Linked DNA regions of Alligator mississippiensis. The protein of the gene in region 2 interacts with the protein of the main gene of each other region in a pairwise test. Links are inferred from orthologs where the notes say so. Each region holds a gene or a part of one and is shown on either strand. Other genes may lie near its edges.

The links. The genes of interacting proteins can lie anywhere in the genome.
Region 1: the proteins of IGF1R (region 2) and KCNIP3 interact in binary tests that used the Homo sapiens proteins (3 or more experiments, as listed by UniProt). The two-hybrid records come from large-scale screens. The link is inferred for Alligator mississippiensis from reciprocal best matches to the Homo sapiens genes IGF1R and KCNIP3.
Region 3: the proteins of IGF1R (region 2) and YWHAB interact in a two-hybrid assay, tested with the Homo sapiens proteins (2 studies listed by IntAct). The link is inferred for Alligator mississippiensis from reciprocal best matches to the Homo sapiens genes IGF1R and YWHAB.

The regions. Positions count from the first base shown.
Region 1 is NC_081830.1:11,262,568-11,272,892, forward strand, and holds the start of KCNIP3 (calsenilin), read right to left. Parts: upstream 4,138-10,325; 5' UTR 3,802-4,137; coding exon 3,787-3,801; intron 1-3,786. UniProt on the Homo sapiens protein: Calcium-dependent transcriptional repressor that binds to the DRE element of genes including PDYN and FOS. Affinity for DNA is reduced upon binding to calcium and enhanced by binding to magnesium. Seems to be involved in nociception.
Region 2 is NC_081834.1:8,251,253-8,261,072, forward strand, and holds the start of IGF1R (insulin-like growth factor 1 receptor), read left to right. Parts: upstream 1-5,704; 5' UTR 5,705-6,386; coding exon 6,387-6,480; intron 6,481-9,820. UniProt on the Homo sapiens protein: Receptor tyrosine kinase which mediates actions of insulin-like growth factor 1 (IGF1). Binds IGF1 with high affinity and IGF2 and insulin (INS) with a lower affinity. The activated IGF1R is involved in cell growth and survival control.
Region 3 is NC_081832.1:16,777,616-16,788,464, forward strand, and holds the start of YWHAB (14-3-3 protein beta/alpha), read left to right. Parts: upstream 1-6,712; 5' UTR 6,713-6,727; coding exon 6,728-6,887; intron 6,888-10,849. UniProt on the Homo sapiens protein: Adapter protein implicated in the regulation of a large spectrum of both general and specialized signaling pathways. Binds to a large number of partners, usually by recognition of a phosphoserine or phosphothreonine motif.

The sequences.
Region 1 (10,325 bases), on a different chromosome or scaffold from region 2:
CAAATGAGGACTGTATCCTCTTCTATTTAGTGTGACATAAAGATGCTTAATAGTTGGTACTGCCCTAGAGCCAGGGCCCACTCAGCCCCACTCAGGGTGAGGAATCTGCTTCTCCTGGACTCCTGTCAGCTGAAGTCCAACTGTGAGATCCCAGTGGAGCTCAGGAGCATCTCAGGTTATTAACTGTGATCCCATCATTGGATTCATTCAGTCGTAATACTCTAAAGATGAACAAAGGACAAAAGACAAGAAGGGACCTCCTGACTCACTAAATGCAGCCCCTGCCATCACAGGCAGTCACATCACATATAACTCATCAGACCAAGTTGATTGTCTGCACTGTTACTCCTATTAACGGTTGGTACCAGACCCTCATTTCATTGATGGCTAGAAATTTGCTTCTAGTTTAACCCTGAATTTATTCAAATTTCCAGCCTTTTGTTCTTGCACCAACATTTCACCAGCTCTTCTCTCTCCCTGGGGTGTCTCCCCACCTGGATGTATTTAGAGACAGCATCTGTATTCCCCTCTCAGTCTTTGCCTTGTTGCAGTAAGCAAGCCAAGCTCTTTCAGTCTCCTTCCAGAGAACAGGGCTTCCTGCCTCACTTCTCTACACCCAGTGCAGTTTGAGTTCCTCTCTCTTGAACATGGGTGCCCAGAATTGCACCCAGTCTCTCAGGTGTATCTCACCAGTTCAATGTGCCCCATCTCTGCTGGAAATGCCACACCTGACGCATCCCAGGGTCAAAGTGCTCCCGACACAGAGGATGAAACCTTCAGGGAAGGACCAGCAGCCCCTAAACAAAATCCCCAGTCTGCCAATCAGCTCTCCTGTTCTCCCTATCCCCATATCTCCATGGCCCAGGGTTTTCTCAAAGACACCAGGTTAGTTCAATGCATCTACCTCCAGTCAAACCATGTTGCATTTGTCCTTTTCCCATTTGCTTCTCAGCATTTTTTCAGTCCTTCCGTTTTGTTCTAAAACCTTGAGAGCAACTGAGACCAGAACAACTGCTCTGTAGTTTCCAGGACCACTTTCCCCCACTATCCCTTTTTTAAAGAGAGGTGCTACATTTGCCATTAACCAGGCATCTCACCCTGATGTGACAGAATTTGTGAGAAACCTTGATTTCATGTGCCAGTGGGATCAAGAATATCCAGCCACCCTCTAACATGAACACATAGAGCACCTTGGTTTTCGCTTCCTCCACAGATGTGGCAGCCTCCATTGCTATACACTTTGCCCCCCCTGCGCCATGCTAGAATAGGCTCCTTACTGAAAACACTTCATTTAGCTGTGGGGCCAATGCCAACATGTCGTTCACCTCCACTCCATCCTCACTGCATAGCAGTGCAGCTTCTTTTATAGCTCCCATTTTACTGAAGCAATTGAAGAACCTTCTTCTATCTGTTTAGCCTAACTCGACTTACAGTTCCCCCATTATCCTGACACTTCCAGACCTCCAAGACATACCTTTCAGACTAGATCAGTCAGAACAGATCAAATAGTTTTTGTGCCTCTGACTTAAGGAAATACTAGACCTCCTCCAGATATAAGTTCCTAACTTCTTCACCCCAGTAGACTTGAATAACTTGTTCTCTTAATTTCTCAAAGTTCATCCTTTTCTCATTGTCAGCTTTAATGACTGATTTTTTAAAAATCTTTCCATTTCCATTAAACTAAATTAACTCATGATCACTCAATCCAGGCTTCTTGATTTCTCCCCAGCTAGCTCTTTTCTAAAATATTAAACCAACTACGTTTAAAATAGCTTCTGGGTTCAGCAATGGGTGAAGAAATCTGTTATCTGTCCCACCCAAGAATAACCAGGCTCAGCCATTTTTAGTTCATTTGTTCTCTGATCTATATCTGGGAAGTTAAAGCCTCCCAAATTGATGCAATTCCTGGTAGCATTTCTCTCTCTGATGACAATGCAGAGGACTCTATCCACATCCAGAGCCAACCTTGGGGGTCTATAGCATAGCCTTGGTACTATACCACAAGAACATCTTGTACAAGCCTTCCCCAAAGCAATTTTATACCCAGGCCAACTCTATAATCCACGGTATCACTTCTGACCACTTCACAGTCCATCCCATTGCTGAAGTGCAGTGACAACCCCCCAGCTTTACTACTCTTACTGTTTTCACTCTTACAGCCTCCACCCTTCACTATCTGTGTCCCAGTCATGAGGGCCATGATTCTGGCACGATAACTAGCTCCATGATGTGAAGCACTAGCTCTGATTCTTCCATCTCGCTGCCGTCTCCTTGCATTCACCCACAGCCATCTCTAGCCTCACCCACTTTCCTAGACAATTAGGTACTGTTCTTTAACTGTACTGTCCATTCGACTGCAATATTCTTCAGTCTTAGTATCCAGCCTCCTTGCCCTTCAGACCCTTGTTTACCCGAGTGGCCTCTTCCTAGTTATTAACAACAGGTCTGGAAATGACCCCAGTCTCTCTCAACCTTTCCTTCTCATTTTTGGTTTAACGCTCTTCTCCTCAGCTATGCCACCCTTAATCCCACCATGTACTAAGGTGGATCTATCCATTGAGACTATTTTCCAGGGCTTGAATATCCCAAAAGCTGCCTCATAGCCCCAATCCTTTGGCTGCCTGAAGATCTTCATCACTTGGAACACCTTTGTCCTCCCTCTAGAGACCAGATGAATCCCACCAGATGGTCCCCCAGAGCATCTTCCCCAGGGCCTGCGTCCATCTCATCGGGCCTCTGGCAGCACCGCTTATCCCAATGTGAAGGACAATCCGTGGATTCTTGTCAGCTGCAGGTCTATGGTTAAGAGGTTTGCTCCAGGCAGGCAGCATGGCCTTGCAGTCTCTGGGGTTGGCCCGTTGAAACAACTCCCATAGGCCTGTCTCTTCTGCCACACACTCTCCTCCATCTGTTAGCAGATTGCCCTGTTTTCTTTCAGTCCTCCACATAGCACCCTTTCCTCCTTGGGTTTTGATCCCTGGGGACCTCCTTCTCTTCTTCTCTTACTGCCTGCTTCTCCTGGTGAAGAACTGCTCTCACATGGAGCAAGAGCCCTTCTGCATGCAGCATCCCCTGCTATCCTGCATCCACCACAGCACCCATGAAAACATTTCCCTAGAGAATAGGCGCAAAGAGTTGATGCCTAGTCTTCATCATTCATGGTTTGGGACTGATCATCATAGTCACATGTGGTTTCCACTCTCATTGGACAACTGAAATGTGCCCCACTGGAAGATGAAAAGCTCCATGCTTTCCTGTGACAATTTTCTTTGTAAAATCCACCCCAAAGTGCCCAGATCTGCAGGCACTGTCATGAACCAACCGGTTCTTGCCTGGATCCTCACACATACTATATCTCATAACTTGACATCCTGTCATGATGTGCCCCATATAGCCACAAAGATATTCAGCGCCAGTAATTTAAGTATCCAGCCACCTTCACCCAAGGCAAAACTCCCAATGATTTTCCATGAGAGTTTTGGGTGCATCTTATGGGCCATTGTGGCATTTGAGTTACAGAGGGCAGAACTGGGCCCGGGGGTCGAATGCTACAGAATTAGGCTCCAGCACTGCTCACAGGTTGGGAAAAAAAGGGTGATATGACAGCCGTAGCAGACCAGCCCCTTTACTGCTTGGCTCAGCACCTCCTGCTGGATGTCCTGAAGGCCAAGAAGGCTCCTTCCGAATGGACTAATGCCTGTTCAAGCAGTGCACAGGTCGGCAGGCATTGACCTTACCGCCTTCTCTCCCCCACCAAACCCCAGAGGAGCTTTTATTTTTACTTACCGCATCTTCAAACATCTCCTGACACGGGGGAGCCCCAACAGGCGACTATCGACCGACAAGCCACGGAGCCTGGACTCGCAGGAGGAAAGGGAAGGGGAAGGGGAGGTGGGCCGAGGTCACAGACACGGCGCTTTGCTCCAGCCGAAGCGGTTCAAAGTGCGGTGGAGGCTGGCATGAGATTGAGGGTGATTCCCATCTGGTTAATCTCCCCGGCTCTGCCTGTCCCTGGCAAGATGCAGAAGGGGAGAGGCTGGCGGCTGGTTTTGTCCTTGTTCAAACATCCCTGACAAAGGAAGCATCCCTATGCCAAGTTTACCTTTCAGGGCCATTATTCCCTCTCCGTGACATGCAACCCGCCAGCCTACGGCTGCTGGTTGCCATGGCAACCCAACCCATCGCCTCCTCGGTTCCCCCCTTTTGCGCCGTGGCTCTCGCTCTCACTCTGTATTTAAGGAAGCCAATTAACCAAAGATTCAAACCTCTTAAAAAAGTGGAGCCGTCAGCTCCGGAGCATCCAGGGGGAAACTTAAAGGGGAAGCTCCCTGCTGCCAGGCAATGGAGGGAACGAACTCCAGGCTCTGCAGACAGGAGAGCCCTGCAGATGCATCTCCCCACTCCACAGCAAGCCAGGAGATTCGGGCACCATGACATGTGAGATCCCAGTCAATCTAATTAAGGTCATAGTATCTGCAGACCCTGAGCCCCTCACCCTCTGCTGCATTTAGCCACACAGCGTCTCTGGGAGGCTATCGTACCGAGAGGCATTGAAGCAAAGCAGCTTGCCCAGAAGAAGTTGGTGGCTGAACTGGACACCAATTGCAGATCTTGGCCAATGCCGTAACCACTAGCCTATCCTTCTCCCCAGACATTCATTTTTGCTTGCATCCTGGGAGATCCCAGCAGTTAGGTCTGTGGGATCTGCATGCTGGGAGACCTGGGCCAGCAGATGCATACCAGGTGGCAGGAGATCTCTACAAACCGATGTCTTTGCTCTGCCATTAAGAACCAGTTGTTTACCAGCTCTTAAGAGATCACTAGATGCAGATTCATACTTTCTGCATCTGATGGACAACCTGAGAGCAGATCCCTATGCCGTGTATTTTTCCCTGTGTGGAGAAATCCCTTATTACAGCTTCGAACCCTGAAAGTAGTTCTCTGTTAGTGCTGATTCCTAGGAAGAGATCCCTATTTAATCTCCTTTGAAACAGCCCTTCTGAAGAACAGATCTCTGTTTTTTAGCTTCAGCAAAGAAAGATCTGCACCCAGCGACTCGCTAGGTAATGCACTATGTATTCACACCAGTCCTGCCGACGGCCTAATTATAATCAAACCAACATGTCCTGGGTAGAGTCTCAATAACAGGCGGTTTAAAGAGCCCAGCCAGAATCACACACCATTAGGCACTGGGGTGGATGCAATCTGCTCTTTGCTAAAGAAAATTTCATTTGAAATTCTGTGCAGCATTGCTGCGCCCTGACATCAAAGGCATGACTACAATGGACACGGCAGCATGGGCTATCTTTGGCAATCCAGGACAGTTTCATTGGAAGAACAACCCAGCACTGAAGACACTGCTGACCCCATAACAGTCCTTCTAGAGGGCCTTGCACACTGAGAGATTGAAGCGCCATGATCATTAATCCTCTTTTGGGCACAGGGAGATGAAGGGACTCCACCCAGGCCAGTGAGTCTGTCCCTAGGGGAAATGAGCATAAGAACCAGGTGTCCTGGCTCCCAGCCCTGTGTTGCAGCCGCTACATATACATCTGTCTATTCCAAAGGCCCGCTTGCAGGAGGCTTCCCTCCATGCTTCATCACCCGAGTGACACGATCATCATTTCTGCCCTTAAACACATCAGAGAGCTTCTCTGAAGTCTCACACTTATGTTACTAGCGACTGGAAATACTGTGGGCCCTTCCCACTGGCTCTTACTCATGTTTGGTTTCTGGAGCTTTTTATTCCAGTGGGCAAGAATACATCCTCTGCTGAGGTTTTGGCTTTTTGAGGCCTAGATGGAACCTGGCAAAACAAGAGCAGAGGAGAAAATATGAGCCCAGCACGTGCTGAGTTCAGAAACTAGCAAAGGACCGTGTGAACACGGGCATAGCATGCTCTTCAAGTTCCCGTGTGCTGTCATGTGAAGTTGCAGTCATGTACATGTAAGCAAAAAGCCATTGTGTGCACAGCAGTCTGTGCCTGGAAACATGGGTATGTCTCTTTATGCCCACATCCATATCTGAGAGCATGAATGGACAGACGTTTATCCATGCTCATGTGCACAGACTCTTGGGGTGCATCCATACACTATTTGTGTGCACATACATGTACGCAGACACCCTACTCACACTCAGATACTCATGCATGTGTTAGCTCAGATGAGATAGTTACCAGGGGAGAGATGTGGATGGCCTAATGTACAGGAGTCAACTTTGCCTTTAATAATATATGGCACATTATCGGAGATCTTTGGAGCTCTGGGCTCACTTCCAGTTGAAGTCATTTATAAATGCCAGTTTGAGAAGCCAGGACTCTTGCCTGTTAAGGAGTCTATTGCTATAACCACCCCCCCACAACTTCCCCATGTGTGAGGTTTATTTAGCCGGATTGCTAATTAGACCCACCAGATACAGTTGCATTTGGCTCCAATTCTGCAGGCATCAGTCTCCAATTGCAAATGGGGAAAGCCTTTTAACGGCTTGGGAGGGACAGAAATGTGGTTTTCTTTGTGTCTAATGATGCGTGTGAATGTTATTAATGTGTCATGGGAAGGGCCAGATCCACCCATGGTGTAATGAGCAAGTACAAGTATGACTACACTGATTTACACCAGAAGATGGGTTGGTCCAGGATTACAAGGAGAGGTGAGCGTTCATTAGGGAAAAGCAGGAAGGAGCAAGCGGACTTTGATGTGATACCTGGAGGCGGGCTGGGTGCAGCTGCCTGTGCATCTAGGGCGCTTGTACACATTTTGCATTGTTTAGATACAAACAGCGCCAAAGAGTGAAACAGTTTCTAAGACTGCAGGAACACCAGGTTGGGGAGGAAGAAGAGGGGGAAATAATTGCCCTTCTTACTAGAGGAGAATTTATTTGCCTCCTCTGAGAGTTAGGCTGCACTGTGGTAGGAGAAATGCAGCCAACAGAGCAGAGCCAGCATGTTGGTTTGACTGGAGTTGCTGCAGATTTGCACTCTGGAAATCTCATTGAGGCCTAGAGCCATTATTCATAAAGTTACTGCAGCCTCTCTCCAATGCCTGGATTACTTCTATTAATGACACTCATGTGGACTGAGAACTAGTCCAGTGCTTCCCTCCAGTTGCTCACAGCCCTCCCCTCGCACATAGGTACTGGACACAAAAATCTGCAACAAAACAGGCTGCCTGCCGCAGGGCCCATCACATACACATCACTGCGCTCTCTCAGCCCTTTATGGGAACCATATGACATACTCCCAGCTGACTAGCCCTGGGCCCTGATGCCCTTAAAGGGGTAGAGCACCCTGTTGCAGCCCTTTAGATGTTGCAGTCATTTTTCACATGGGGAAACTGAGGCACAGAAAGCAAGCAGCTCATCCCAGGGACCGCTCAGGACAGCAGGATGCTGCGTGGTGCTGCACACTTCCCACTGTAGCCAAAACTCAGCAGCTTGTAGCTTCCTTCTGTATAGGGGACAAATTCATCCAGCCCGCTCAGTACCTCTACAGATTTGGCGGTGATACAGAAGGCCTCTGCCACCACTGATCAGTCAAAGTGAATGTCCTCCCCGTGAACTGCATGACATAGGAAGGCAGAAACAATCCCCCCCATCCCCTTCCATTGCTCTAATCCAGTTTAATCTCAAATAGATTAGATTAACCCCACTCTAGCTTTTTAAATCCCACGCTGTGCCTTGTTAGCCCCTACCCCATCTCCTCCCACAGCACGTGGCAAAGACCCTCTTGCCCATGCTTACATAAGCCCAGCAAAGCTAAGCATCATTATCTGCCCCACGTGCAGAGCAGTCCTTTGCATTCTAAGCGTGTTTGCTACTAAACCCTGTGCAAATATCCAGAGCTAGGGCTGGACCAGCTGCCTCGGCTCTGCACCATGAATCACCAGAATTGAATGCTGTAATGCCCCCAGGTTAGAAAGAAGGTGGTGGTGTGGGGTAGACTTGCTGTATATTATGCTAGCGCTCATCTACCCCAACTGAGATCAGGGCCTTGTCATGCTAGGAGCTATGCATTCACAAAGAAGAGATAGCTCTTGGCTCTAAGGGCTTAAGTAGACAGGACAGACAAAGGGAAGTGGCAGCCCTATGGGCTAGAAAATTTGAACCCACTTGCCTCTGCTACCTCTGAGTGAAGCATTGATGGGAATGACTCTAGACAGCCCCATCAAAGCAATGCCTGATCCTTCAGGAGGCTGCAGAGAAAATGGATGTGCTGGAGGGGACAGCTGAATGCCAACTGTCCCTGAGTTTGAGCTCTGCAGCATTCCTGGGACCATCAGTTTGGGTCCAGCGGCACGGACTCAGCCTGTCACTTGGGTGAAACAGTTAAATGGAGCTCCAGGTCACTTGAGTCAGACTCTGACAGCCTGACAAGCCATGCATGTGCTGACAAAGAGCACAAAAGAGAGACTCGGGGTGACTGCCCATCAGGGGGACCGAGCTGCTGACTCTGCTGGTGTGTGTTTGTGTGTGTGTGTTAGTCTGCATACAGGCACTGGCCTCATCATTTGTACCAGTTTCTGTCAGCGTGTGTGGATAGGGCACACACAAACATGTGTGTATCAGTGCATGGGGGTGTACCAATTGGCACATGCTTGCATGCCAATGTGTCCATGTGTGCTCCTGCATGTTTCAGTGAGCATGTGTGTCTGCCCTTTCACTGAGAGTTTAGAAACTCTTCAAAGTGGCCTTTTGAGATCCCATGACACTGCTTAAAAATGTGAGACTTAATCCCATCATCTCTTCACCCCATGATGACCTCGGTCACTTTGCCTCCAGACATGGTAACACGCCTATTTCATAAAATTCCCTAGCATGCACAGTGCTAGCAGACACTCCATTATTATGGATTACAAATCATTACCAGCTCTGATCCTCTTATGCCCTTGCTGGGTTTTGTTTTTATTCAGTCTTGAATAGATTTTTTTTTTGGTGCAGTCACATCGGGATTGTTAGGTGGATTTTGGGGGTTTTTTGGGTTTTTTTTGGAACCACGTTAGACTTTTAACCCATTTCTCCAGCTCCCTCCAGGAGCTGATTTACTCACCAGCTGGAGTTAAAACAGGGATCTAAACCCTTTCACGACCACAATCCAACGGCCCTGGCTCAGGGAGATTGATTAACAACTGAGTAGGGAGTTCAAACCCTGGTCTGTAATACGTTCCTGGGATCTAGAAATGCAATTCTCTTAAGAAAATGCTGTGCCCCTAGAAATCTAGTTTAAATAAACTCATCTATTGAGAGCCTTAAATTAACCAGAGTCCTGGCAGACTGCTCTGCTGCCGGGAATATTGACAGATTATGATGCTGCCTGCCATACCACTGCTGATTGCCACATGCCCAGTTATACTCCCTGCCAGAGTGTAGCCCCATTAAATTTATCCTACAAAGAACTCCTCTGTCACATTAACAGACCCTGCTAGCAACTGATGATTGCAGCAAAATCCAGCTGTTTAAGGTGGCAGAACCTTACTACACATCCTGGCTTCACAGAGTAGGCTCCAAGCTACTTCAGCATTTGCTTGCATTCACTTAACTAAAAATTGAGTAAGAACAGAAGAGACAAAGGAAGGAGTAGGTGAGAGAGGATTATAGGTGAGAACAGTTGTAATAAGATGGCTAAAGATGGCTTATGGTGCATTTAGTTGTTTTATGCCAGTTCGAGCTGGTTTAGGATACACTATAGCTTAAAAAGAGAATACAAATAAGCATCTGAATACCAGTTAGTAGGAACATCTCTATATCTGTTATCTTTATTTAGGAAGCTGCTGAAATTAGGCCAGGTAACAGAGTATAACAATCTAGGTTCATCTGAGAAACCTGGCTCTTCAGCTTTAAACTATGGTTCTTGCTGAAGAGCCCATTTGCAAATGAACTGAGATAAGCAAGTTTGAAGAAGACACCAAACTGGGGGGAGTAGTGGATACGCTGGAGGGTAAGGCTAGAGACCTCAACAAATTAAAGGACTGGACAAAAAGAAATATCATGAGGTTCTATAAGGACAAGTGCAAAGTCTTGCACTTAGGATGGAACAATCCCATGCACCAAGGGAAGTTTAGGTTGGATAGTAGGAAAAACTTTCTCACTAGGAGAGTAGTGAAGCACTGGAACAGGTCACCTAAAGAGCTGGTGGCATCTCCATCCTTGGATGTTTTTAAGGCTCAGCTCAACAAAGCCCTGGCTGGTGTGATCTAGTTGGGGGTGGTCCTACTTTGAGCAGGGGGTCGGACTGGATGACCTCCTAAGGTCCCTTCCAACCCGCATTTTCTATGATTTCATGATTCTAAGTGCTTTTTTGAAAACTTAATTTTAAACGTAAGTAAGAAGTT
Region 2 (9,820 bases):
TGTGACACATAACCTGTTCCTAGTGAATTTGTATACATGAGATAGAATATCCCAAATTCTATATGAAGATGGAGAATTGACTGAATCTGAATTTTTCTTTCAAATGCAAATACTCTTTGGTCTTCCTGAATTATCATACACATGAGCCACTTTAAATTATCTATCATACATGGTACAGTGGCTGAATTCACCATACATATATGAGAATTATTATATATCTGGCAACACTGATCGTGAGCATAACAAGAGCCTGCCCTGCTGCTACTGAAATCAAAAGATCTCCCATTAACTTCAGTGATACAGGATCGAGCCTAAGGCATCTATGCTGGAGATTTTCAAAATTTCGTAATGAATCTAGACTTCCAATTTCCACTACTTAATGCCATAAAGATATCCTGGACCAGGATGACAATGAAAAAAATGGCATAAGCATGCAAGAACCAAACCAGACTACATGTATGTAAGGTAAATGGTAAAATAATATAATTAAAACTGTGTCATCATAAAACATGCAGACATGGTAGATGTGCAAAGTTAACACTGATATTGACTGGGCTGGGATGATGTAGTTGGAGCTGGTCCTGCGTTGAGCAGGGGGTTGGATTAGATGACCTCCTGAGGTCCCTTCCAACCCTCATTGTCTATGACTCTATGACATTACTTTTTCTTAATGTAGCTTTTTTTATACAAGGTTATACCTAAGTCTCAAAGACCTCTGAGGTTTCTGTCTTACTAGACATCACCAACATTTGTATCATGCCAAAGTATTGCAACAAATCTGGGATCAATACAGATCAATATCTGCACAGCATGGCTGCTAGGAGGATCAGTGGATTAACAGGATACAGCCTATGCTCTTCTCTTCCTAAAACAAAACCCTTTGCCATTTGAACTCACGGAGAATCTCTCCCGTTATCAATGGGAGGCCCATCCCATGTAATACCCTTTTTCTGGTTCTGTTAACAAGCACAGATCATTCAATTGCTCTTCATATTTTAATTTAATTTAAATTTTTAGCTTATGAATGTGGAATACCACTACAGAGATGCATTCTTTCTTGGTTTCTGCTCTCCAGTGCAGAACATTCAGCTTGCACACACACCTCTCCAAATCTTCCTTTTTCTCACCCTGTAGCCCCACAAGCAGCATGCTTTGAGCTCACCTTTTTACATTCCATTTTCAACATCTACCATTGTGCAAGTAACAGAATAGCATTTAACTAAAGAGTAAAGGAAACATATTAAAAGAGTAAAGGAAGAGTAAAGGAAGCATATAAAGGAAGCATATAAAGAGTAAAAGAAGCATATAAAGTTCACTGCTATATATTTCTCTCTTCAGAATGCAGCCTGTTCCTTCTTATAATGACTCTTCTAGCAATTAAAGAAATCCATGTGCGAATTTTTTGTTTGCAGCAGCTGCAAGAAATCAAAAGAAAGTTTTTGAGGGATGAGATTTAGAGCTGCCCAGAAACTGAGGGTGTTGTTTGTATTTCCAATAGGATTTTTTTTTAACTGCTCTTCAATTTTGTCAGCATTTTGTGTACTGGGGAAGCACTTGCAAGAAGGGTGTAGGATACAGAGCAAGGGAGAAAGTAGAGTAGAACATACATCTGATTGTCCTGCATGGGACGTGGATTGCTTTATTTGTGATAATTTTTGTAATGATTTTTTTCTTTGGATGAAGGACTTCATATTTTATTTTCACGTTCTTGGCTTCCATTAGACAACTGAAACATCCCTTTCACCTTTTCTTCCAGATCTCCCTCACTGAAACCAATGTTCCCAAACAGTGTAAGGCAGTGGCTCTCAACCATTCTAGGCTCAAGCCTCCACCTTGATAGATCCCCCCTGCCCCGACCAGCATTTAATTTTCACCCATTTTTCTTTTAATATCAGAACAAATATCCGAGCAATTCTTCCATTGAACAGAGCTCAGAAAGCCCACAACAGGTCAGCATGTGTCTAACGTCATGGATCTTTATTTGAAATCTCTTGTGTTTCTCTTGTGAATTGTGTTTGCACCCCTCACAGTGCTAACACTGCGTGACACCCTGCATCACCCTTGACAGGATCTCTTGGTACCCTGGCTGAGACCCACTGGCCTCTCTGTGTGTGAATTTCTTAGGGTGATATCTTCTATTGGACCAACTCTGTAGTTGGGATAAGAAAAGATTTTAAATGTAAAACTTGCTTCCTCATATCTCTGAATATAGGAAGCTAGGCACAGCAAGTTCACTTTTTTTTTTTTAATTTCCTGTCTCAGACCAACTTAGCCAAATCTGTTCCAAAATCCACTGACTGAGCAGAGCTCAATCGTTCAAATCTATGTGGTGCTACCATTGGAAAGTGTCTTTTCTCCCAGATTCTTCAGCCTGGGGCTTTAGATACTCCCAAATCCATTGCAGGCATTGTACGTGCAGGCTGAAGCCCAGAGGTCTTGGGGTTTGGATACCCCAAGTCTCACATGCCCTTAGGCAACAGGCCAAAGGAGCAAGCTAGGGAGAAATCCCTCATCTCCGTAAAATAGGCATGTAGTGAAGATCCTCTCATTGGGAGGCTATAGTAGATTCTTGGAGGGGGGCTAGTCTGCACTGAATTGAACAGACCTCCACCCTTTACTATACACTGTGTTCAAGGTTATCCGACCTCTGCAGAGAGCCACTTTCATGGTATTTCCCCTGCCAGGTAAGTTCACACAAGGAAGGTAAGACTAAGCCATCCCCCCAGTGCCCTTGATCTCCCCATACTCAGCTGCTTCTCTTTTGCTCATGGTGTGTCTGCTACACCTGAGAATTTCTCTCAGCCCCTCTCCTATGCTGTGCCTTGGTTCCTATATTCAGAGACCCAAGGAAGTCTTACCTTCAAAAGCTACTGACTGCTACCAAAAGCTAATAATGAGCTACTGCACAGTAGCACTGTGTGGCACGAAGCGTGATGTGATGCTGCTACACAGGAGTAACGAGCTACTGTGCAGTCAGCATCGCCTAAAAGCCATTAGGGGATGCTACTGTGCAGTCACTCTGGTTACTGCACAGTCACTTAGTACTTGTGTATGCAACTACTAAATGACTGCCCAGTAATGACGGCGCAGTCAGCATCTTGTGTAGACACAGCCAGTCAGTCCAATAAAAGATATCAACGTAAGAAATCCTTGCTTCTCCAAAAGAAATGCTTGAGCACTGGGAGATCAAGGCCTATCAAAAGGAAGAGTGGGGAGACAAGTCAGCTTCACTTTCCCAGGGTTTAAACATTAAAACCAAAATGAAAAAACCACCCCCAAAAACACAATCATTGGGAAAACCTGAGAATGTAGCTATGGTCAAATGAGATATCTGCAGGTCAGGGGAGATCCCCTTATATGAGAGGTGAGTTTAAAATGCAGCCTAAATTTAGAAGTTCCCTGAATTTCCTTGTGGCAAGCATGCTGAGACTCAGTTTTCCTTTCCTTACCTAATGTTAACTAAAAAAGGGAGAAAGATGGAAGTGGGTGAGTTAAAAGGCCCAGAACAAAAATACCATTAACACGATGTCTGGTCTGATGCTACTGTGGACCTATTACTATACCAGTGCATCCGTTTTATCTTTTTTTTTGAGCAGTACCTTACATACCCAAGCTATACTTTATGTTCCAAATGTTAATTCACAGCGGTACAACCTTATGTCTTTGGATCCATAACTCAGGCTGTGTAGTAAAAATCCTTATGAATGTAACTACTGTACTACGCACATTTATATTTTTAACATCAATGTCTTCTAAATGCTTGGTAGAGAATATAGATGTGCATGCATAACTATCCAGGCAATTTAGATAGCAAATATACAGTGTTTCAGTATGAAAGATTTTGTGCATTAATCAGATACACCAAAAATTGAAAAGAAGGGATGTTTTGGAAGTGATCAGGTAATTGTTATGGTAAGAGTCCGTCAGGCAAAACAATGAGGTTGCCGGTGTTTATTCCTTTTGGTTGGTATTAAGCCTAGGTTGGCCATCATAGAGGACAGTCTGGTTGTCCTCTACTGATACAAAACTGGATGCCTTTACATCCTCTGTTTTTCTCTTCAAATAGAGGACATAAAGGGGTCAGGTTTTGTATCAATAGAGGACAGACTAGTGGAAAACTGGAATGCCCTCTATGATGGCCACCCTAATTAAGCCGTATGTTCAAATGTTTTAGTATTGGGACAACAGGTTGTCCGACCTATGAGCTACAAGGGTAGGGAAATGCAATGAGCAAAATCTGCTAAAAGGGTAAAGTATAGGAACAGTTGTGGATTGTGAGCTAGTTTCAGGGTGGAGACAGTGTTGGGTGGACAGTAGGGTGGCCATCATAGAGGACATTCCCATTTTCTGCTCCCCTGCCTTCTATCGATACGAAACCCAACCCCTTTATGTCCTCTATAAAAATAGAGGACATAAAGGCGTCGGGTTTCATATCAATAGAGGACAACCGGACTGTCCTCTACGATGGCCACCCTTGGGGAGAGAAAAATGTCTTCTAAATGCTGCGCCTTCCCTGCATGGAAAGCATTCCTGGATAAAATAGGATTTATGGCCCATGGTATCTCAGTGCTTAGCCCTTGGTACTTAATGCCCAGCCCCTTGTAAGAGTTGTATGAAACAGGATACAGGTTTCCCTCGCTTTGTGCAGGTTTTGTATGTGCAAATTTGCTCTTATGCGATGACTCTTTCATACCAAAACCTTGTTATGTGCAAGGTAAATTCCCTCTTACACAATCAGCGTGGTGGAAGCTCGCGTGGATCTGTGCAACTCGTTCATTGTCTGCAACACTGTTTCTGTAGTTGCCATTCCCATTATGACAGTGCCCTGTGCTTGTGCTGTTGGCGATTCCCAAAACTGTCTTGTAAAAGTGGTAGAAACAGGTCTGGGGGCAGTACAGTCGAGGTCTTGGAGCGTACCCCTATTTGTTACATGGTAAAGTGGGCTGCCTTTGTGCGAATTGGAGTTACGCGCCGTTTTCCAGGGACGCGTGCACCGCATAAAGCGAGGGAAACCTGTATATGGCCCATGATATCTCAGTGCTTAGCTCCTGGTTCTTCCTGCCCAACCCGCCTGGAAGAGTTGTTTGAAATAGGATTTATACCCCATGATATCTGAGTGTTTAGCCCCAGGCTAAATGTACGAGCTGGATGAAATGGAGATATCAGGGGCCATATATCCTGTGTTCAGCCCTTGGCTTTTCACCCCTTTGTATGAGTCGGATGAAACAGGACATACGGCCCCTGATATCTCCGTACTTATCCCTTGGTTTTCTGCCCCTTTGGGCAACCTGAATGAAATCGGATGTATGCCCTATACTATTTCATTCAGCTCACACAAAGGGGCAAAAAACCAAGGGCTACGCATGAAGATATTAGGTGCCATGTCTCTTATTTCATCCAAGCAGGACGAACCCAGGGCTAGCATACACGGCCCCTGATCTCTCAGTCAGGGCTTCGTTCCCTTGGATGAGCTGGATGAAGCCCCTGGCTCCTCAGTGCTCAGCCCCCTTGGATGAAGCCTCCCCTCACCTACCTGCCCGTGTCGGCGGGCGGCGCGGCGCGGCGCGGCGCGGCCCCTCCCCCCGCGCGGGGGCGGCTCCGCTCCGCGCTTCCAACCGCCGCCTTTTGCCCGGCGCCGCGAGGAGCCGCGGGAGGAGGCGGAGGCGGAGGCGGCGGCAGCGGAGGCGGAGGGAGGGAGGCAGCGCGTGCGTGCGCGCCCGCCAGCCGGGTCCCCGTGCGGCGGCGGCAGCAGCGCGAGGCCGAGGCTGTTGTTTACGGGAGCAGCAGGAGGACGGCGGAGGCCTCCCGCCATTTCAGCGCCCTCCTCCCCTCAGGGGGTGATCCTGTGCGCGCGGAGCCGCTTTGTGCGCGGGCAGGGCGCGAGGACGACGCGGAGGAGGGGGGCAGCAGCAGCCCTCCATTCATCGTCCCCCGGGGCCCGGCTCTTCGTCTTCTTTTTTTTTGTTGTTGTTTTTTCATTTAATTGAAGAATAATTGTGCGGGGGAGGGGCACCACCCTTGATTGATTTTTTTGTTGTTGTTGTTATTTTTTGGAGGAGGAGCGGGGTGAAAATGGAGGCTGAGGATGCCCCGCGCCGCCTCCCGCTCGCAGCCGGGCGCCGGGGCTCCCCGCCCGCCGCGCTGACCTGATCCGCCGCGTGTCGGCTTATTTATTGGGGAAGCTTTTTGGTTTTTGTTTTTTTTTGGTTGGAGGGGAAGGGTTGTCTTTCCTCCCCTCCCCCTCATTTTGGGGCTTTTTTTTTTTTTAAATATATATTTATTTTTTAAGTGTTTTTTTTTTTTTCCTCCCCCCCTCTCCCCACCGTTTGTTTGTTTTTGTTTTGTTTCTGGGAACGGGGGGTTTTGTCCGTCGCAAAGGAAAAGGAATGAAGCCTGGCGCCGCACCGGGGTCCCTCGCCTTGCTCTGGGGGCTGCTGCTGGGCTGCGCCGCGCTCTGCCTCTGCCCGGCCAGTGGAGAGAGTGAGTACGGACCGCGGGCGGGTGTGGTGTGGCGTTGTGTTGTTGTCTTTGCACCTCCTGGCCCTGCTCCACCCTTGGAGAAAAGCCCCCCCGGCCTCTCCCCTCCCCAGCTGTCCCTGCGAGCCTCGTGAAGCCGCGAGAAACTCCGGGGGCAGCCTCCGCGCTGCATCGCCCGCAGGAATTGGAGGAGCACGGGGCGCTGCTGCCGCTGCCGCCCTCCTCTCTTGCTCTCGGCTTTGCATGTGTGTGTTTTATCCCCCTTGGGTTTTTTTTGGTTTATTATTATTATTATTATTTTTTTTTTTTGGGGGGGGGTGCAGCAGTCATAGGTTGTTGTCCGGGAGAGGGTGGGGAGACTAATGGGATGGCACTTCCAGCATGGATCCGACTCAGGGTGGGGAGAGGCTGGAAGAGGTGTTGATGACTGGGCAGAGCTAGAGGAGGAGAGAGCAAGGCAGGGTGTTGGGTTCTGGATACGTACATGTGTGTGTGTGTGTGTGCATTGGAGCGGGGGACACGTGTGTGTGTGTGTGTGGGAGGGAGAGACGGGGTTAATTTGTGTGTGTATGCAAGGGACTTGTGCGTTGGGAGGGGAAGTGTATGTGTAGGGTGGGTCTGCATTGGAGCGAGGGGACGTGTGTGTGTGTGTGTGTGTGTGTGTGTGTGTGTGTGTGTGGAAATCCTGCGTTGGAGGGGGAGACGGGGTTCATTTTGTGTGTGCGTTGGAGGGGAAATGTGTGTCCCACCTCTCCAATGCAGACCGACCCTGCACGCACACACGCACATGTGCATGGAAATCCTGCTTTGGAGGGGGGGACGGGGTTCATTTGTGTGTATGCAAGGGACTTGTGCATTGGAGAGGAAATGTGTGCGTGCAGGGTCGGTCTGCATTGGAGAAGGAACACGTGTATGTGTGTGTGTGTGTAAATCCTGCATTGGTGGGGAGACATGGTCCATTTGTGTGTGTGCATGCAAAGGGCTTATGCGTTAGAGGGGAAGGTGTGTGTGTGTGTGTGTGTGTGTAAATCCTGCATTGGGGGGAGACATGGTCCATTTGTTTGTGTGTGTGTGTGAATGCAAAGGGACTTATGCATTGGAGGGGAAACGTGTGTGCATGGAAGTTGTGCCTTCGAGGGGAAACGTGGTTCGCGTGTGTGTGTGTCTGCAAGGAAGTTGTGTATTAGAGGGCTCCCAGGAGTGGGGGGCGTGCATGGAAGTTCAGTGTTGGAGGGGGGGAGGTGGTTGTGCAAACCCGCTCCAGTTTCTGCTGCACAAAGATGTCCGGGTTCTCGCTGCTCTCCATCTCTTCGGACTCTGCTGTTTTAGAGTCTCCAATGTCACGATTCGGCTTTTTGCACCCTGCAAACCTGTGATGCTGGTGATTGCCCGCTCCCTTTCGGAGGTGGGGGGGTGAGATTGCAGCCATGAACAGGCACCTGGGGCTGAGCGGGTTTCCTCGTGGCCAGGGGGGATCCTGTGACTCTAGGGTTGTTTGCATTCAGCTTTAGTCTCCCCTCAATTTTTGAAGGTGGGTGGGGGGCAATGGCATGAAGGGATGATGTTAAAAGGGCTTTTTTTTCTGGTCACATCATTTGGCCTCTCTCTGTTTTGCCTTGTAGTCTCTGCTCAGGAATAGGATATTTCCTTGCATTTAGGGATGTAAAAACCTAACTAGTGAGCAGTAATTTGTCTTTATTTCTGGAAAGGGGGGGGGCAGGAGAGGGAGAGCAGGTTTGATCTTTCAGCAGGAGAAGGGAACAATTTTGAGGCTGGAAGTTTGCTAATGAATTGGTTTTAGGCTGGAGAAGAGAATGAAGTGCTCTGGATGCACTGGCTGGTAGAGGAGTTGTAGAAATGGTTTGAGGAAGGCTGGGGTCGATGGAGTCTGGTAGGCATGTTGAGTAAGACTGCTTGTCTTTGCACAGTGCTTGCCAATTAACTCTTTGAAAATTAGGGCACAGTTTTGCCTTGTGTGCTCTGGCAGGGCTGGAGAGGCGCCTTCTGTCTTGGAGGGGCAGGACCTTTTTGGCTAGAGCTGCCTTGGAGAGATCCTTAGGTTTAAAAACTGAAAGCCAGTGCTTGTCTTCAGGAAAAGGCTTACAAAAAAGAAAGACAGACTAGTGTAAAGGAAATGAAAAAGAACTTGAGAGACCAGGTCCAGTGTATTTTTAAATGGCCAGGTTTAAATTATTTTTTTAACAACTTATGAATAGCATCTTCAAATAGGGCTCTTGCTCCTCATAGCCATTCTTTTAAAATCAAGCACTAGTAACATTGTAGGGTTCAGCATTTGGTCCTATAAAATGTTTGCACAAGGAATAGCTTTTATTGTTTGTGGAGTACCTGGGTATTTAATTTTAAACTTGACCAGATACACCGAGGAACTTCTCTGAGCTGAACAGTGCCTCTAATCAAATCCTGTCTGCAGTTCACAATGTTAATAGTCTGTGTTTTTGCGAGTTATTACAGAAAGAATTTTGCTGTTAGGGGGAAAAATGATCTCCCAAGCAGATGTTTTGCATCACTTCATATTCTTCCCTCTCCCCACAATTGTGGAAGGAAGATTAATCTTAATTTTTATTTGTTTTTCTTCTATAATGTGTCACAGCCAAAAGGCACTTCCATTTTCGGTCAAACAAGCAAGGCATTCCTAAATAGGAATACAAAGGAATTACAACAGGGAGGAAGAAAGATTTTAGATTAAGAAAAATCTATCTGAGATCCAAAGATCGAAGCATGTTTAAAATGCAGGTAATGTAAAAGGGAAGGTTCTAATCAATAACAAAGATTGAGAAAAATATTCAGAATGAACCAGGGTTTAAACATAAACCCAAAATAACCCTCTCCCCCCCTCGCAAGCCCCCCCCCCCCAAAAAAACAAAACAAAACAAACCAACCAAACCAAACAACAACCCACCACAATTTCATTTGGAAAAAGAATGTAGGTATGGTCAACTGTAAGATATCTGCAGGTCAGGGGAGAACCCCATTACGTAAAAGGTGAGTTTAAAATGCAGCCTACATTTAGAATTTCCCTGAATGTCCCTGTGGCAAGCATGCTGAGACTCAGTTTTCCTTTTCTCACCTAATGTTAACTGAAAAAGGGAGAAAGATGGAAGCGGGTGAGTTAAAAGGCCCAGAACAAAAATACCTTTAACACAATATCTGGTCTGATGCTACTGTGGACCTATTACTATACCAGTGCATCCGTTTTATCTTTTTTTGAGCATTACCTTACATATCCGAGCTATGCTTTATGTTCCAAATGTTAATTCATAGCGGTACATCCTTTTGTCTTTGGATCCATAACTCGGGCTGCGTAGTAAAAATCCTTATGAAT
Region 3 (10,849 bases), on a different chromosome or scaffold from region 2:
GATCTATTTGAGTCAGTTGAGTTTGTAATTCAAGATATTTCATCTCTTTATACTCGTAACATAACTCTCAAATGCTAAGGACATTTTCTCCCAACTCTCCAAAATAATTCATATTTAGACTGAGACCAACCATGAAAGCTCTGCTAAAATTCTAACCTCACTGAATGGGAGTTCCGTCATTCACACTGATGGGGCCAGGAGTTTACCTTTAAAGTCCAAGGAAAGGGATTTGTTGAGAGAGTTGTTACTTGAAGATGAAAGAAGAGAACTTTTTCATTCTTACAGATGATGTAACAAAAGAAGAAAGGATCAAGACGCTAATGTTATTATTCAGGAAACGAATACACAACTAGCTGGGTGGTGCGAGACATGTTCTTTTTCCTGGAGTGCTGCTATATGAAACTCAATAGAAATCTTCCTCATACTGTGGAAGTATCTCTAGTTCTCTGTTAATCTGATTTCCACTTATTTATCATACTGAAGAAGCTGGGCCATGATGATAATGATGAAAACATTAGATTTTGAAGGGGAACAGGACAACCATAATGACAATACACTAGTTAACAGAGCCACAGTGAACTGACCTAATCCAGTCCCTAAATATAAGTGAACTATGACCATGTCATGCTCTGAAATTTCCAGGGCCAACTATGGCAGGGACTACCCTTCTGAAATATTTAGATGGAAGGCAGTGAGAAATTATTGAGGATGATCCTACAGCTCTAAATTTTGTGGGAGGTTTATGCATCCATTAATAAAATGTGAATACAGGCAGTCCTCAACTTACAACATTTCGCACTTACAACGTTTATAAATTGACACCCTGTTTCAACTTTATGACATCAGTTTCAACTTTACAATGCCTGATCCAATGCAACACCACGCCATGCCAGCAAACAAATTCGCTGCGTCACTCAAATCCCTGGAGAACATCTGTCCAAACTTCCTTGGACACTGTCTTTCAGAAAGCAGACAAGACTCCAGAAAAACCTGCAGCCAAGACTCCTGAGAAGACTCCAGCCAAGAACCCTTCAAAAAGTCCAGCAAAGTCACCTCAAAGAAGTCCTGCCAAATCAGTGATTGCTACTTACAATATAAATATATTAATGTAGCTATATTACTCATGAATAATTGATCAGGTACAATATTCTCAGGTATTTTTGGTGAAAATAGGGTATGGGGCCTTGGTTCAGGAACCAATCTCTCATTTATAACATTGTTTCTTACGAGAAAATTGGTTCCAAGTTGCAACATTTCAACTTACAATTGGTTCCTGAAAACCGCATCTTGTCTAGTCCAAGGACTGCCTGTATCCATAATTTTGGCAACACTGTGTGAGAGAGAACTGTAGCACTGCTTTCATGGTACCATGTCAGTTTAATATGATAACTCATGCTACATTATGGTATCTCATGTGAAACAAAAGAGTTTCAAAACAGAAAAATAACACTTTTGATTTGGCATGATATTCCAAACTAAAGCTGCATGATGACTGAAAACTAGATGATTCACTTTTGATATAGTACGCTCCAGATACCATATTGCTGCAAGACGCTGCCATACCCAGATGTAGGAAAAAGTGATGATCCTTCATGGAGACAGCAGGATGTCATTTCTCAGTGGAATTGCACTGATTTATTTATTTATTTATTTATTTATTTATTTTTTTGTAGTGACACCTCAAACTTTCCAGAATGCAAGAGTGCTGCAGCCTCTTGGGCTGTGCCCATGTCTGGCCTTTTCGCCATAAATTTGATCACTTCCACAGGCTCTCTGCATTACATAAGAACAGACCTGCCACCCTGGGTCGACCAAAGCTTCAGCTAGCCCAGTAGCCTGTCTCTTAACACTGGCTAGTCATGTCTGTCTCCAGCAGCGGCAAGTAATAGAGAAAGGATAATAAGAAACAGGGCAGGTGGAGAAGAATACAGTTTGTCAGACCCTCCCAGTTAGCAACAGGTGGAGGGATATCTCCCGGATTTTTTGAACACCTGCTGCCAAATTTCCAGACCTTGGGGGAGCACCGCAGGCTGGATTGTGGGCCTGTGCAGGGGCAGATCCAGGGGTGCACTAGTGCGTTCGTACCCCTCTTTGATTCTTGCCACCTGAAGTTTAAAACCAACAGTGCTAGTGAGTAAGGCTATGCAAAATTTTGCCAGGTGTTTCATTTCGAAGCCATTTTGAGCTCAAAACAGCTAAATTAAAATGAAACAAAAGGCTCTGAAACAGCAAAATTAAAATGAAACGAGGGCACTTGAAACATTTCAGAAGTTTCAAAATGTTTTGAGTTTTGAAGCTGGGCTGACTTGGCTTCAGGGCCAGTCCCAGGCAGCAGTGGCAGCCTCCTTTCATCCAGGGCGCAAATCTGTGGGCAAGCCTGCACCCCTGGGAGGAGTCCAGCACAGCCCCGCAGCCCTCCCAGGGGTGCGAGATGGGAGGAGGCTACCACTGTCGGCAAGTGTCATGAGTTTTGCTTTGAACAGTTTGAGGTGGTTTCTCAGAAACCCTTACACCTAGCTCCTTGAAACGTGGCAGGCTTCATACCCTCAGAAGGGGCTACCACCCCTACAATTTTCATCCGAATCAGGAAAGAAATGACAGAATTTAGGGATTTTCATAATTCCCCATTATAGCCTATGGGCAAAACATAGAAGTGCATCGAAACCTCAAAACAGTTTTGACAAAACGAAATGGGACAGCGCTTCCAAAACAAAACAAATCAAAACACTGTCCCTTTGAAATGTCAAAATGCGTTGAAACAGCAAAATGGTTTTGATGAAACAAAATGGGACAGCGCTTTGAAACGAAAAACTGTCCCTTCAAAATGTCGAAACCTGTCAAAACAGTTTCGACAAAACGGAACCGTGCTTTGCAATGAAACTATTAAACGAAACACTGTCCCTTCGAAACGCATCGAAACAGCAAAAGTTTTGACGAAACGAAACAGAACAGCGCTTCAAAACAAAACGACCAAAGAAACTCTCTCTCTTTGAAATGACGAAACAGGCATCAAAACCACACAGTAGTGAGGCGGCGTGGACCAAGACCCTTCACTTCACTCCTCCCTGTCTACCGCATCCCTGCCAAACCCCTGCTCCAGTGGTGCTCCCCCCTGGCCCAGCCTTGGCTGCAGGCTCGGGTCCCTGCTCCTGGGGAGGAAGCTGCTATTTCCCAGCCCCGCGGACTGTCCTGAGCTCGTTCTGGGGAAGCCTGTTGGTTTTTACTTCCGTCAAACTGCAGAGCCTGGGCCTAATTTGTTTTTTCACGAGAGAAAAAAACGAGTGTTGTTGCATATGAGGAGAACTCCCCTACCCCGTCCTGCACCGCGTGCTCCCAGGTCTGATCCACAGCCGCCACAGGGCGGGGGCGGGGGAGGCAGGACACGCCCCACGGCTGCCAAGCGCTGCAGGGCCGCCTGCGGTGGGGGGCGGTGCCCGGGGAGGCCCCGCCCACAGGTGGCGGCGGCCAGGTGTGGGGGGCGGGGCAGTGCTGAGGGAGGCCGCTCGCGCGAGGGGGCGGAGTCAAGAAGAAAGGGCGGGGGGGCGGGGCCAGGCCTCTCCTCTCCTTTCGCCCCCTCCCCTTTCCCCAGTTGCTATGACAGCCGTGAGGTTTCCCTCCCCCCCCGCCTCGCACCGCGGCCCCGATGGCCCAATGGGGAGGGGGGTAAGGGGTGGGGACTCGCGGGCACCGGAAGGGGCGTGGCGCGGGCGCCGGAAGTGGGTGCTGGAGCCGCAGGGCGTGTGTGCGTGTGAGGGAGCCCAGCGGCTGCCGCGCTCGGAGCCTTCCGACCCGCCTGGCCCCGCGTCCCCGGTGTGAGCCGCCGCCGCCAGGTGAGAGCCCTGCGCCGGCAGCTGGGTGGGGCACGGTGGAGGCCGCAGCGGGATTGCCGGGCGGGCCCCGGGGCTGGGCCGGGGCTGACCTACGCCCGGGGGTGATTGTGCCGCCGGGCGGGCTCGCGGCCTGCGCCGCGCCCGGGAGGGAAGGGCGGAGGCCTCAGGCCGCTGAGAGGTAACAGTGCGAGGCGCTGCGCTGCGCCGCCGGGCGGGAGCTGGGAGCGCCGCCTCCCGCGGGAGCGCCAGCCTCGCCGCGCCCCGCCCCGCCCGCCTGAGTCACTTCCCCGGGCTCCGGCCCGCGCTCACCTGTGCAGGCGGGGCGGGGCCGGGCCCGGTCTCCTGGGCCGGGCGCAGCGCCAGCCCTGCCCTCGCCCAGGCCTCCCCGGGCACAGCTTTGGGACGTGCCTCCAATGGCTTCCTGGGCTGAGGTCCCCTCGCGGCCTCTGCCAGTGCCGGGGGTGGGGCGCTCTCCATGGCTGCTTCTGTCTCTTTCAGGGAGGATATTCTAGAGAGATCTCCAGCCAGGAGGGGAAGGGGGTGCGGGTGCCTGTCTTGAAGGCTGTATAGAGTGAGATACAAATACAGGAGAGGGGGAAAGGTTTCTCTTTTTTTTCCTTTCCGTTTAAAGCAGAGGTGGATTTGGGGAGGCTGCCAGACAGACAAAGGTGCTTTTAGCCTAGGGCCCAATGCTAAATAGTGTCTAGAGCTCATAACGATCCCCAGCACCTGCTTGGAAGCATTTGTAGCCAGTAGCATCCCAGTGTTCTTGCAGATACACTGCCAGCAGAGTCTCATCTAAGTAATGGTTCCCAGCAAGTGGATAAGTGCTTCCATTTAGTGAAGTTATAGTAACACAGTAGTAGAGGAGCAAAATGAGTGTTGTGTTATGCTTTTAAAGCTAAATTCTCTTAAATAGCCTGGAAATGTGTTAGCTTGTAAAATCTTACAGCTTTAGGAGAGGTTCAGTTACCTAAGTCAGAAATCTTACATGTGCAGTGGCCTTTAGTTAGAAGATTTCAGTATCTTTTTTGTTGCTTCTTAAATTTTTTTTTCCTTCAAAGCAGAGTGTATTAAAAATGTATCCTTGTCAGTTTAGGATGCACTTTATCCCTATAATCTAGAGGTGCAGGATAGGGGAAACAGTGTTTTGTTCACTGCTTGCAGCCCAAGGTTGTGGGCCTCTTACAAATAGGATTGCAAAGAAAGCATCCTTACCGTATAATCATTTTAAGTTTTATCTTTATTAAAGATCTTGTGTTAAGTACCAGTGGGTGAAATATAAAGAACTTTTGGAGCCCATTGCAATCCTTCTAACACAGCTGTATCAATATACTATGTTCTGATCTGTAGTAACCTTGCTTTTCTAGGGCTGAGGGTTTTTTAAGAAGATTTGGACAAGAACATGGCTTTTATGATGTGTGCAAATCAACTGGGATGTAACTGAGTTGTAGCACAAGCACAGATTTGAATTATGAAGCAACAAAAAACTAGTACTTTTATTCACCTAGTGCCATAATAGCACATTATAATAAAACTAAAGGCCTATAATGTTGTGGTTTCTCATTGCCACAGTTTTATCCCACCTCATAATATAAATGCTCTCACTTTATTGTTGCTGAAGGTGATTTACCTCTGCTATGAATGTTTTGTTTTGGCATAAATTTTACACCTGAGGGAAAAGTGTTTTTGTTTTTGGAAAACTCGCTACTTCCATCTGGATGCTAGCCAAAAACAATTATGCTAGCTGGAACAAAAAAGTGTAACCATATTAAGTGTACTATATGCAAGAGCTATATTCCTGTCTCCACCTACAGCTGTCTTTATGCATATATGTGCATATTGACTTCAACAGAACAGAATGGCCCTGCTCCCAGGAACCTACATGACAAAGAGCATTATAAGAGGTGTCAAAGATGGGGAAAGATGATGTAGGGGAGGGTGGTGGCTATCTAGGAAAAGTTCATTAGATGTGCTTTACTGGCTTTTCTCTTCAGATAATGTATGGGGCAGCATTTGGGTTGAAGGCCAAAGTGGAAGGTTTGTTGGAAAAAAAACAAGTCTGACATACTTGGGAGGCTAGTGAGGCTTCATGACACACAGACAAGGAGGAGGGCTGTGCCTGGTGCTGTGCTGCCTCTTTTAAAGCCAGAGGATATGCAGAGTACACTTTATTACTCGTAGCGTAATCCTGACTTGTAGTAGTAGAAGGCAGGTGAGCTTTCAATGCTTATATAAACCTTACAGGGCACATATATTTGCCTGGGAAGTCATTTTTAGCAATACATGTGCTATTTGGGGGAAGCATTCTATTTCCATTAACTTTAAGTGATGCATAGGGTATTTTTGTGGAAAGGAAATGAATGAGAAATGTTGATGAATAATCTATTTAGTTTCCAGTGCTCTCCTTCATCACTCCTAAATTCCCTAAGTCAAGATAAAGAGCACAACTTGGGGCTAAGCAAGAGGCCCACTACTTTTTTTTAAGTGGGGGGAGGGTGCAAACAGGACTCCTTGTGTTTTATTTGGAAGGTGCTGAGAAACAAAGCCATTCCAGTTCTATAATAGAGAACCCATAAGCAGTGATGCCTGTGGCATAGTGTTTGCCAGTGAGGCTCAACCTTTTTTTCCCCTGGAGGCTGGATCTGGTTGGTGATTCCAGTCTGGCAGGCATGGTGAGCATCATCTGGCCACGTGGAGGAGAGTGGGAACCAATCCATCCCCATCCTGGCACTGCAGGATGGGGAAGGGGGCTTGGTTTGGCCTTGGGGGGTGGGGGGGAAGAGTCATGGCATGACTTCAACCCATCCCCATGGGAAGAGGCAGAGGGGTGCAGCCCAGCTTTAACTGGATGTGCAAGGCTTGGAGTTCGGCGGAGGGGGAAGGTGGCCATATTAATGGCTATCATTTCTCCACAGCCAAATTTCCTGACTCATGGGGACCCTTGCAGACTAGATTCCAAGGCTCTGTGGGCTGCATTTGTCCTCTGGACCCAGAGGTTGAGGAGACCTGGTATATTATACACATTATATACTGATACTGTAAAACAGTTGACAGGTATGTGACTGTCCTCTGAAGGAACCTCTTTTGTTCCTTTCTGTTTTATAGATGGCTGTCTTGGTAATCTGAATCCCCATTTAAGTTTCTGACTTGTAGAACTGAGCTTTGAAGCTGCATAAGTACCATTTGCTTGATATATAGATTTTTTTTCTGTTTGGGTGTTTTGCCATATTAACAAAGTCCCTAGCTAAAATCCAATGTGAGATAGCCAAATGATGTTGGTTTTTAGTATGCAGCCTCCTCCAGTATAGGCCTGTTGCTTGTTCCAGTTGCAAACTGGTGGCCTTGTTCTCAAAGGTATACAATTTTGTCACTTGACCAAGGGTGGATTTAACTGAACTTCTCCAGAGGGGAAAGGTTAAGGTATTAATCCACTCTTCTGCCTGTTGCCTTAGTGACCTGTGTGTTAAAGTTTTTAAACCAATAATTACATTACTTTCTTTCTCTAATAGAGAGGTGCATGACTAATTAGTTCTAGTGCTTGCTCTACAGAAATACAATTTAAAAAAGGTCCTTGAGAACAGCAGATTTCAGACTGATGGAAATTTATTAGTATTGTCTTCCCAGTTAAGTATATTACATAAGTCAGATCTCTTCAGTGTCAGTTTTTCATTTGCTTTCTATGGTGTTTAAATGCAGTTACTTCTGATCTGTGTTGACTTGGACTTAAATAGATGATGGAGAGTTGGAAGTAGCAATGCCAGAATGCTGGCATGTTCGCTGCCAGGTAGTTCAAGCTTAAAAAGTGGTTTATTTCAACGTAATGTTTTGGGGAATGGAATGTCTACCCATCTTTACTCCTTATCAGTCACTAACACTTTAATTTCATTTCTCCACCTCTTTTCTTGCAGTTCTGTGAGTATACTCTGAAGTTAGGTGCCCTTTTTAAGCTGGCCTTGTCCTCCTGTGCTTTTAACTTTTCTTCCTATCTAAAGCAACCAAGGCCACTATAAATACAATTTACAGACCTATTTTACAAACATATTTTACCTTTGGTCAGACACCATGTTATTTTAAGAAATCCAATCTAGGGCCACTCCTCTAGTGAGCAGTTTCTGCTTAGAACTAGCAAATGTTGCTCTTGATCTTATGTCTTCCATGGCTGTAACTACCCACATACATGGCATGACCATCAGTGCTGTATTAAACAGTCCCTGCCAGTCTTCAACTCCAGTTACTGGTATATGTTGATAATTGCTGCAGATGATTCCCACTAGATGACTTGCGTTTGTAGCCTCCAAACAGTTTCAACTATGGGCCTCCCAAAGATGTGCGTTCCAGGCTATGGCACGCTAATGCAGGGATGCTGAACCCCTGGCCCGCAGGCCAGATCTGGCACTATGTTATCCAACCCCTGGGGGGAGCCCTGGGCCTTGCATACTGGATTGGGTACTCAGTCTCAGCTGATGGGGGTGGGAGGGAGTGGTGCCAGCCCCAGGGCCCAACCCTGGTACCAAAGAGTCTGCTTCAGCCTGTAGACTGGACCCTTGCTGCTCAACTGGCTCTTGGGGCCAAAAGCTTGAAAGACCACTACACTAATCCATTGTAAACTTGGAGCATTGCTTTCAGTTTCTTTATGAGAGGGACAAGTTATAGATGCTGCTTTAGTTTTTTCAAATGTCACTTCTTTCCTTGTATTTTTCTCTTCTGGTGAACAATGGAGTACAAGCCAGCATAGCTCTGCAAAAAACCTTTCTCCAGGCTTCCAACAAGGTAAGCAATGGAGAATAAGATTCTGACCGTATTCCGTTTCTGTTTGACTCTTGTGAAAGTGCTAGTAGGCTCACTGCCAGGTTATGAGCGTTTTGGTGTGGAGAAATGTCTGCCTTTATTGGAAGAAGTTTGTAGCATTTGAATCTTGTTAATTTTACTAAACAGTAGTTCGTAGTTCAGTAGCAAACCTGACAAGGCAGATATTAGCTACTTGACTAGTCAGATCAAGGCATAACTTGAGGCTCAAACACTGTCCTTAATTTTTGGCAAAAATAGACAAATGCAGTTCTAATTGGACCTCAGACTTTAGTAAGCAGCTTAAGGCTGTATTTAGGACAGGCGCATAATTTAGTCGGATAAATAGCTAAGGAAAGAGATATGATGAAAACGTGTCTGTATATTTTGTGCTCATATTTGACAGATAGACTGCTCAGCCAAAGCTGTTTTCTGTACCTGCACTTTTACCCAGTGGCTTTTGATGCCTGCTGAATTCCCTCTTTGCTTCTTCCAATATGTCTTTAAGTGAACTCCGTAACTGCCATGGACTTGCATTTAAAGATAAATATATCAGTAAGCATCGTACTAATAGGACTGCGCAGTTCCTAAACTCAGCTCTGTAAAAGTGACTTGTTTCACAAATTAAAGCACTGCTGGAAAAATACAGATCAAATGTAACACTATCAATTTAATGGTGAAATGACAATTGCCTCAGCAAGCTGCCCTTAAATTTCAGTATGTGGAGTATTTCTGTAAAACAAAACATCCAGATCACATGATAATGGTGGTAAGCTGTGAGCAACTACAGTCAAAATGTTTCTAGTGGCTATACAGCTTTTTTAGGAAATAAGAACATCTCACAACTATGCGGGTCCACTGGCTTATGGTTGGCTTTCATGTAGTATAAAAAGCACTGTGATATTAACATCATGTGGTACCCTGCAGATTGGGCAGAAGGTCACTTGAGAGCAAGTACTTACTAGGTGGAGTATATAAATCGGTAATTTGGGAGCTGTCTGGAAAGCAAAGGATGGCTTATTGGCTTGGAATACAGAGCCTGGGGTAAAAATTGAGTTGGTTCATGTGGTGGTAATAGTAATCAAAAGCTGCTGCCATTTGACTGGTCTCTCATATTAAGCTAACGCACTTCCTAGTAGAAAGTTCCCTTTGTATTATGAATTACCCCCCCCCCCCAATCAGTTGGTACGTTATAGTTTGCAAAAGCTAGTGTGTAATATAAACCAACTACTGTGTGTCCTTAGAGGAGATCCATCCTGAGAGAGATGGAGCCATTAATGAAGCATTAAAAGTTAAATTGCAGTGTTCTTGTCCATACATCATCTGTCTTGGAGAGAGAGAGGTTCAATACAAAGACTAACAGTTTGACACTTTAAAGTGCTAAATGCTTCTGGTTTGGAAGTGCTCCTTGGCACAGAACTGGACAACTATGAAACTGTGTGCGCAAAAGCACTCTCTTTCAGGAAACATCTTTTAGCAACAAGTTTGTTTTGAGCACGTGTCTCAGTGCTAGATCCACAATCAAAGTTAGCTTAGTAAACAAGATTAAGCATGGTTTGCTAACCTAATGGTTGGTGTGCCTGCTTGGGTTCTGGTTCTGGTACAAGAGCTATCATGTAAAATGGTCTGTGAAGTGGGACAGTTTCTATAGGAAGGAGCTATACCTCCCTGGTATAGCTAATAGCCTGGTAGTTAGGGCACTGTCCTGTGACTTAAGAAATGGAGAAGCTAGAGCAAGGAGCAAAAAGCAGAGCATCTGCTTGGCCCAGGGGAAGGGGATCAGAGATGCTCTTATGGAGGGTGCGCGGGTAATTTGTGGCATGCGTGCCAAAAAGGTCAGCCCCATTGCAGTCCTCCATACTTTACAGCAGGGGTTGTCAACCGGGGATACCTCCCCTGCTCTGCATCTGGCTGCTGACTTCCACCCTCCCCCAGGGTACACTTACTAAAAAGGGGGCTGCCAGGGGTACACTTATTAAAAAAGGTTGAAAACCCCTGCTTTTATAGCATTAGTGTAAGCATCAGGCTTGACACTTCGAAGACAAACTTATGTAGAGAAATACCTGAGTAATGTTCCTGGCAGAGCAGTGTAAAACATCTTTTGTTTCCAGGTATTACAGCTTCATTCAGCTCTTTAATCATGTACAAAAGTATTACATGTGACTTCAATGTGTCCAATAAAGGTGTAGGATGACAACAGGAGCTGTCCAGTGTTTCAGATTCTTAGATTG